Linked DNA regions of Cricetulus griseus. The protein of the gene in region 2 purifies or fractionates together with the protein of the main gene of each other region. This does not show direct contact. Links are inferred from orthologs where the notes say so. Each region holds a gene or a part of one and is shown on either strand. Other genes may lie near its edges.

Evidence for each region. Proteins that work in one complex are often made in the same cells at the same time.
Region 1: the proteins of Lgals3bp (region 2) and Spryd3 purify together in Homo sapiens (co-immunoprecipitation; 3 studies listed by BioGRID and IntAct, counting the BioPlex papers as one, with this or other methods). This does not show direct contact. The link is inferred for Cricetulus griseus from reciprocal best matches to the Homo sapiens genes LGALS3BP and SPRYD3.

Annotation. Positions count from the first base shown.
Region 1 is NC_048595.1:398,533,808-398,538,145, forward strand, and holds the start of Spryd3 (SPRY domain-containing protein 3), read right to left. Parts: upstream 2,819-4,338; 5' UTR 2,692-2,818; coding exon 2,669-2,691; intron 2,622-2,668; exon of another isoform or gene 2,486-2,621; intron 424-2,485; coding exon 277-423; intron 1-276.
Region 2 is NC_048600.1:130,937,470-130,941,115, forward strand, and holds part of Lgals3bp (galectin-3-binding protein), read right to left. Parts: intron 714-3,646; coding exon 1-713.

The DNA of each region.
Region 1 (4,338 bases), on a different chromosome or scaffold from region 2:
AGAGTCAGATTGCTAGGTCCCACCTGATCTAAGAAGACCAACCTCCTCAAGTAGTTCTTTAACAACCATCCCCCAAGACACACACCAAATAAATAAATAAATAAATAAATAAATAAATAAATAAATAAGGCAACCTGAGTGACCCAGTGATAAGAGGCAGAAAGAAAGACATAAAGACCACCAGGGGTCCCTTCACAGTGTAGCATACACAGTGTCCTGGTTAATACCAGGAAAGGACTGGACAAGGACAATGTGGAACCATTTCCCTACACTCACCTCAAAGTGTCACCATCCACAAGAATATGTTTGAACCTCTCCTGATATCGGAAAGCCCGAACCTCTCGAATCTCCCGAATCCTCCTTCTCCAATTCAGAAACCGGTAGTGCAAGTTGAGGTCATCCATCTTGTTCATGAGAACAAACCTATGAGAAGAGAAATGACTGAGAAGGAAGTGGAGCTCAGCACAGAGTACCTCAAGCCTGCTCAATCTTGAATGTGCAGAGTGTTCCAGATGTCCAGATGCATCTCAATAACTCCAGCCTCAGCCACTCAGTCAATAGATATGCACTGTCATCGAAGCTAGGAACAAAGCTATGAGCAAGACAGATGGGGTTCATGATCTTGTAGAGTCTCCAGTCTCATTAGGCATGAGGAAGCATAGCAGATAATAAGCACAAATGAACATTTTAGCCATTGGAAGCAAAAAAAAGAAAAAAAAACAGATGTAACAGTGGACAAGGACAGTCTTAGAGGCACAGGATGTTGGCTGTACAGAGGCAGTCAACATGAGAGTACAACAAAAATCATTCCAGGCAGAGGAACAGTCAAGGCACAGTCCTTGGGTAGAAGAAAGGTGTCATGGTAGAGAAAGACAGAAGGTCAGAGTGGCTGTTATATATGGAAGGTGAATAAGAATAGGATAAGGCAAGAGACTATCCAGTCAGGAGTTTAAATTTTATTTCAAGGGTATCGAGAAACCTCTGTGGAATTTTAAGCAAGAAATGGTATGATTTTAAAATATATCAAATCTTGTTGGGTATGGTGCTACTAGTTTTTAATCCTGGAAAATTTTAAACTTCTTTATTATTTTGTTTTTGCTTTCAACTTCTTTATTATTTTTATGTGTATGGGTGTTTTCCTGCATGTATGTCTACGCATACTGTATATGTTTGGTGCCTTTAGAGACCAGAAGAGGGCATCATATCTCCTAGAATTGTAGTTACAGACAGCTGTGAGCTACCATGTGGGTGCTGGGAATTGAATCCTAGATCCTCTGGGAGAGAAGCCAGTGCTTTTTCTGGCGAGGGAGAGGGGGATTTCAAAACAGGGTTTCTCTTTGTAGCCCTCCCTGTCCTGGAACTTTGTAGACCAGGCTGACCTCAAACTCAGAGATCCACCTGCCTCTGTCTCCCAAATTCTGGGATTAAAGGCACACACCACCACTACAACCAGGCATAAAGCTAGTGCTTTTTGTTTGTTTTGTTTTGTTTTTGAGACAAGGTGTCTCCATTTAGTCCTGGCTGTCCTGGAACTCACTCTGTAGACCAGAGTGGCCTCAAACTCACAGAGATCCTGGAAAGGCATGTGCCACCATGCCCAGCAAGCCAGTGTTCTTAACCACCAAGCCATCTCTCCTGCCCATAATACCAGCACTTTTTTTTTTTTTTTTTGAGTTAGCCCTGGCTGTCCTGGAACACGCTCTGTAGACCAGGCTGGCTGCCAACTTGCAGAAACCCCCTGCCTCCTGAGTGCTGGGATTAAAGTCATGTACCACCAGCACCTGGCAATCATTTCTAGCACTTTTAATTCCAGGCAGAGGCAAATAGATCTCTGAGTTCTAGAACAGCCTGGTCTACATAGTGTGTGCTGGGCCAGCCAAGGCTATAGAGTGAGGCCTTGTCTCAAACAAAAGAAAAAAGAGCTTATCAGATCTTAACTCTCATTTCCAAGTGTAATTGTGACAGCAGTTCAAGAGACGGCAGACACCAAAAGGAGAAAAGGAATGGAATGGGGACTCTTTGGCATTTAGACAACCCTCAAGGCAAATGACTGACTGAATAAAATTTTCCAGAGAGCCAAAAGTGGGAAAACGATGAAGCAATCTTTTCTTCTTCCCAGTCCCCAAACACCTGGCACAGTACCCCACCCTCAACACACACAGCAGGTGCTTAGCAAACCTAGGCTAAGCTGAGTTCGACTCAAGTGCGCACACCAGGACTCTTCTGAAGGAGCTACAGACCACCACATGCTCCAGAGGAAGACAACTGTGGCACTGCACCAGCATTCCCCTCCTGGGCCCTGGGCCAGGACTTGAACCCAGGCAGCAGCTGGAGCCCCAGACTTGAAGACACCTGATCTTCGAGAACCCAGCAGCCTCAGCACCGACCAGCAGCAGCATCGGCGCTGGGTGCCTCCCCCCCGCCCCGCGCAGCCTCAGCACCATCGGGTCACTCAGATGAGACCCGGGGGCCAGCGGGCCTTCACCTGTCAATGCGGCTACGCCCGGTCTCCACAGGCCCCGCACTAGGGGAGGGTGCGCGCCGGGAGGACCACTAGTGACCAGAACCCCAGGCCCCGCCCCTGAGCCGGGAGCCGTCTTCCAGGACCCCCGCCTCGAGCTCTGCAGAGACCGAGGCCTCCGGGACCCCGCCCCCGATCCCCGCCTACCGGGGCCGCCGCGTCCTCCTCATCCATAGGCCTCTCAGCTCCGCGCTGTAGCTCTTCGGCCGCCGCCACCACACACATCCGGGTCCCCGCCCTTCCTATGCTCCGCGAGGCCCGCCCCCTACGCCGAATCCGCCCAATCGTCAGCGGTGTTTGCAGATGGGCACCCACATCAGCCAATCGCAGGGCAGTAGCGGTGTGGGGCGCGGCCCGGTGAGCCGGGTACCTAACACTCGCCGGCGTCTGAGGAACCTTGGTGTCGGGAGGGTGGGGGAGGCGACGTGGCGGCACGGACGCCACCGTGGGCGCCAGGAGCTCGGGGAGGCGGTCAAGGGGCGGCTCCCTTGGGGCGGAGCGGGTCACTGTGCACGCGCAAGCATCACAGTAGTAGAGCAAGGAGTGATGCTAAAAGCCTTACTGGAATGTCCTTTTGATCCACGTAACAGCCTGGGGGGGGGAGGGGGATCTTAAAATTATCTCCTTTTTACGCGTGAGGAACCAGAGGCTGAGCTCCACAGCGGTCGCACTCAGCTGATTCCTTGTGTTTTCTTCTTTCCAGAGCACCACTTTGCATCACATTCGTTCATTCCAGGAAGGACGTTCCAGAACAGGAGAGAACTTCAGTTGCAAAAAGCACAGTGAGATGATACCCAGTGCTGTTTGGGAACAGAGTGCTTGGTGGGAAAGTTAGGTCAGGTCAGAATATCCTGCCCTTGGGAAAAATTGGGCGTGACTTCCATGTCTTTTGTTTTGTTTTGTTTGTTTTTCGAGACAGGGTTTCTCTGTGGCTTTGGAGGCTGTCTTGGAACTAACTCTTGTCTGGTCTCGAACTTACAGAGATCCACCTGCCTCTGCCTCCCGAGTGCTGGGACTAAAGGCGTGCGCCACCACCACCTGGTGACTTACATGTCTTGTCCCAAGACTGAATATTCTTTCCAGATAGACTCACCCTGTCTTGAGTACCCTGTGTCAGAAACATGAACAAACATATTTGTGTCTTTCCACATCTGAATTTATTGAGTAACAATAAATTAACAAGCTATCTGGGTCTCCTTGGCCACAATTAGCTAATGAGTCCTGATTTACATGAACAACTGGCTTTTAGCAAGCACAGGTTCTTTTACTTCAATATTAATCACTAACTCTTGGGTCACACATTACACTTCATGTGTATACATATGTAGTTTATACTGTGGCTACAAAGGGGTTAAAGAAACCACAGCATAATTCAAGAGTTCAGAGGCCTTACAGAGACAGAGCCAATAGGTTAAGGCAAAGTTACTGCAACCAGAGAACAAATCCAGCTAGAGAGCTGCTAGAGATGCAGCCTGGAAGGCAGCCACAGCTGCTGCTTCAGAGCCAAGCAGCAGGTCACAGGGCTGAGTCCAGCATCAGAGGCAAAATACAGGACTGGTTATGGGTGAATTGACGGGCAGACGGTAATCTAAGTAGGTTTCATCAGCAGTGGACATGAGCTGAGTGAGCTGAAGTCCCAGAGACAGTCAGGATTTCTCTGTTGTCCTTTGAGGCACACACACAGGGTGGCCAGTGGGGTGGGGACCATTGTCATCACAGTGTTAAATGTCCTCCTCATTGTGGGGTCCAACTGAGGGTGTTGCACCCTTTCTAGGATTGATAAGTTCTTGAGCCTGCTGATACCTACTGGGCATATG
Region 2 (3,646 bases):
GGTAGGGGGAGTACCGACTTACTGAATCATAGCCATATGAATAGTACCCATACACTTGCGCACCCTGTGACCTTGAGGAACGGTCTGTCACCAAGGTGCTCCAGGTTGAGGAGGTGTAAAGCCGGGGCTTGTAGGTGTTCTCCGTGAGGTTCAGGCCTCTGTACTTGGCCAGTACTGGGAAAGGCACAGTGTGGAACTCCAGGGCCTCCATGGTCTTCCTTTGGAACAGTGCCTGGTGACCCTGGTACAAGGACAGGTTGAACTGCAGCTCAAACAGCTGCTGGGGCAGCATCATGGGGAAGCGGACCTGTTCCACCAGGCCCTCCACCTCAGCATGGGAGGCGCCACTCTCCGCGCTCCACTGATCCACGGCCTTCAGCAAGTCCAGCTCACTAGACACAGCCAGCTCACTCTTGGAGAGGAGAGCCTGGAGCAAGGTGGTGGGAACACTCAGCCAGGCCTCAACCTGTGTCAGAGGCTCAAAGTTCCAGGCCAGGAACTGCACGCACAGCTCTTCCAGCACAGAGTCCCTGGTGGCCTGTGCGTACTCATAGAGCTCCAGGGGCGTGTGGAAAGTGGGATCCTCGGGGAGGAGGGTGGCGAACAGCCGGCTGCAATAGTCTCGAAGCTGTGTGGCCCCGTAGGCAGAGGCTAGCTTGTGCAAGCACTTAACAGAAGACATGGTGACCTCGATTCTTCGGGAGTAAAAGTACCTGGGGGTGGGAGGGAGGTTAGGAAATGGAAGCCTGCCCTGACAGACAGCAGGGCTTTTGTTTGGCTTGCTTTCCCACACAGCTACCTACTACACCTTCACCATTGACCTCACGCCAGGGTGCCGCCACTAGTGGCAGCATTCACCTCCATTCTCATGCCAACTGACAGCAACTTTTGGGTGTTGGGCCACAGGGTGGATAGTTGTTGGCAATGACACTCACAGCCACTTTCTTCCTCATCTGTGAATGCCCTCACCTGAGGGGTTCCCACCTACATCTCCTGGTCACTCTGATGTCACTGTGAGCCTTGGACAGCAGAGGTCTAGACATGGGACCCTGCTGGGTTCCTGTGGGTACCTCTTTCTCCCCAAGCATCTGCTCTCTGTCAGGTGATAATGACACCCGATGATTTGGTCACCCGATTTCTGCTTCCCTGGGACTATGAGCCATGTGAGGGTCTGAGCCCACCAAGTCCAGAGTGACACCCTCCCTGTTGGTCCATAAATGTTCAAATAGAGTTGAGGGTTCCTGCCATTGGCTTCACAGCACCCCAGAGGTTGGGATGGCAACTCTCTCCTCAGGGCTGGTGCACACAACTCGTGGTAGACCATGCATAAAATCACCTCATAGGGAGGGCACGGGACAGTAGGATGCTACCACCAACCTCTCCCTGCTCTTGAAGGATTGGCACCAATTTCTAATCCTCATCCCACACCAGAGTGGTCCCTCAGACTGCTAGCAGCTATCTCTAAGTGCCAAGGGAGGCTGGGAAGTGCCAGGGTTCTTGTGAGTGCCTCTCTGCCCTCATGCCCCTCCCATGCTCCCTTACTCAGGGCCCAGTCTTAGTTTCCAGAAATCAGAGTGGGCCTCCCCACCCTGCCCATCCTTTTCAAGTAAAAATCACATATGCAGAGAGAGAGAGGGGAAAAGCCCAAAGCCAGCTTTTAGGCTCGAGGGACAGCGGGAGGAGTCTAGGGGACTGTTGTGTCTCCTGTGGCTGAACCCGTGTGTGTGTGTGTGTGTGTGTGTGTGTGTGTGTGTGTGTGTGTGTGTGTGTGTGTGTGTGTGTGTGTCCATCCTCAGAGGGAAAGGGGGGATGAAAGAGGAAGAGAGAGGGAGGGAGAGGGAGAAAGAGAGAGATAACAGGAGCCCAGACCTGAGGCCACAGCTGGGGGTGGGGCAGGGGGTTCAGGAAGGCAGGGATGACATCTGCTCCACCCTCCACTGTGTCTTAGACATAGAATTCACCAGGAGGACACAGGAACCCTGCCAGGTTTGCACACTAGGCTGGGAGCAAATGGTTCTAATCTGGGTTTAATTGCCAGTATTATTCTTATAAATGTCAGATTCCATTATATAAAGAATCGTGTCATAAGGGTGAGAGAGGGTACTTTTTAATAAATGTTCTATTTTAAAGAACCACTGCTTTCAAAATGCAAACCTCAGAGTCCTCCTGGGTGGGGAACCTGTGTAATCTTGACAATTAAGCAGAGAGGTATGGAGGGAAGGGTCGTGGCAGAGTCTGGGGAGGGATGTGGACCCCACTAACTGTCTCTACTCTCATCTGTAAGTATGGGGTAGTCTGAGAGGCTCCTCAGAGGGGCAAGCGTTCCCTCTTCCCTCACAGACAGTTTTAAAGTCATGGCTCCCTGCTGTTCTCTTAGCAAGACCGATAATGTGGGAAGGGAGGGCTCTTACGCTGAAGTTGGCAAGATGGCTCAGCAGCCAGTCAATTGCTACCACATCTGATGACCTGAGTTGGTCTCCAGAACCCACAGGAGAAGCTACTCCTGAAAGCTGTCCTCTGACCTCTGCATACACCCTGTGGGGACCACACAAACAAGCACACAGGAACCTCACATTGTATCTCTATCGTACCTAAGACACATGACATAGAGAGGGGAGGATCATGCGTGCATCTTACCTATACTGTCCATGCCTTTCTAAGGGCCCCAGGGAGTGGGAGGGGAAGCCTGGGACTTCATTCCAGCCTTGCTGTAGGATTCCATGCTGCCAGTTCCCACCTGGACTCTATTTCCATGCGCCCTCCCAGGTGGCTCCCAGGTGGCAAACTGCAGGCCAGTACTCCATGCTGAAGTCACAACCTCAGAATACCAAACCCTTCTTACAGGATTTGGAGTATTTAGAGTCGTATAGTGAAAATGCATGTATCTGTGTGCACTTAATGTGGGTGGGAGTGCACGTGGGCACACCAGTTCAGTGTGTATGGGGTGCTTTATGGTAGGAGTGCTCTGGTGGTCTGAATAGTCCCCATTCAGACATATGTGATTGCTTAGTCACCAGGCAATGGGACTGTTTGAAAAGATTAGAAGGATTAGGAGGTGTGACCTTGTTGGAGATGTGTCACTGGGGGTGGGCTCTGACCTTTCAAAAGCCCATGACAGGCCCAGTCTCTCTCTGCCTGTGGATCAGGTGGTAAAGCTCTCAGCTACGGCTCTACCAAGGTCCACTGCCACCACCAAGGTGACGATGAACTAAACCTCTGAAGCTGCAAGCAAGCCCCAATTAAATGCTTTTTTTTTTTTTTTTTGAAAACCAGCCTTGGTCATAGTGTCTCTTTACAGGAATAGAACAGTGATTAAGATAAGTAGACAAACAGGCACATGTAAAAGTAAGGTTTGGATGCATGAGAACGTGTTTATACAGGTGCAGGGAGCATCTGGATACATAAGTGTGTGTGTGTGTGTGTGTGTGTGTGCCCAAAGGTGGTGAGTATTCACATGTATGAGTGTTCAATGCTTCCATGTAAGAGCAGGGAGCATCTGGGTGTTAATGTGTGCTCACATTAACACATTAGCACATGCAGCAAGTGTTGCGGTGTGTCTCCACGTGACACTGAGGTAGGTGGGAGAGTTTGTCACCGTCTGTCTGCCAGGGCAGATGTGTGCAGTGTGAAGAAGCATGCACCCATG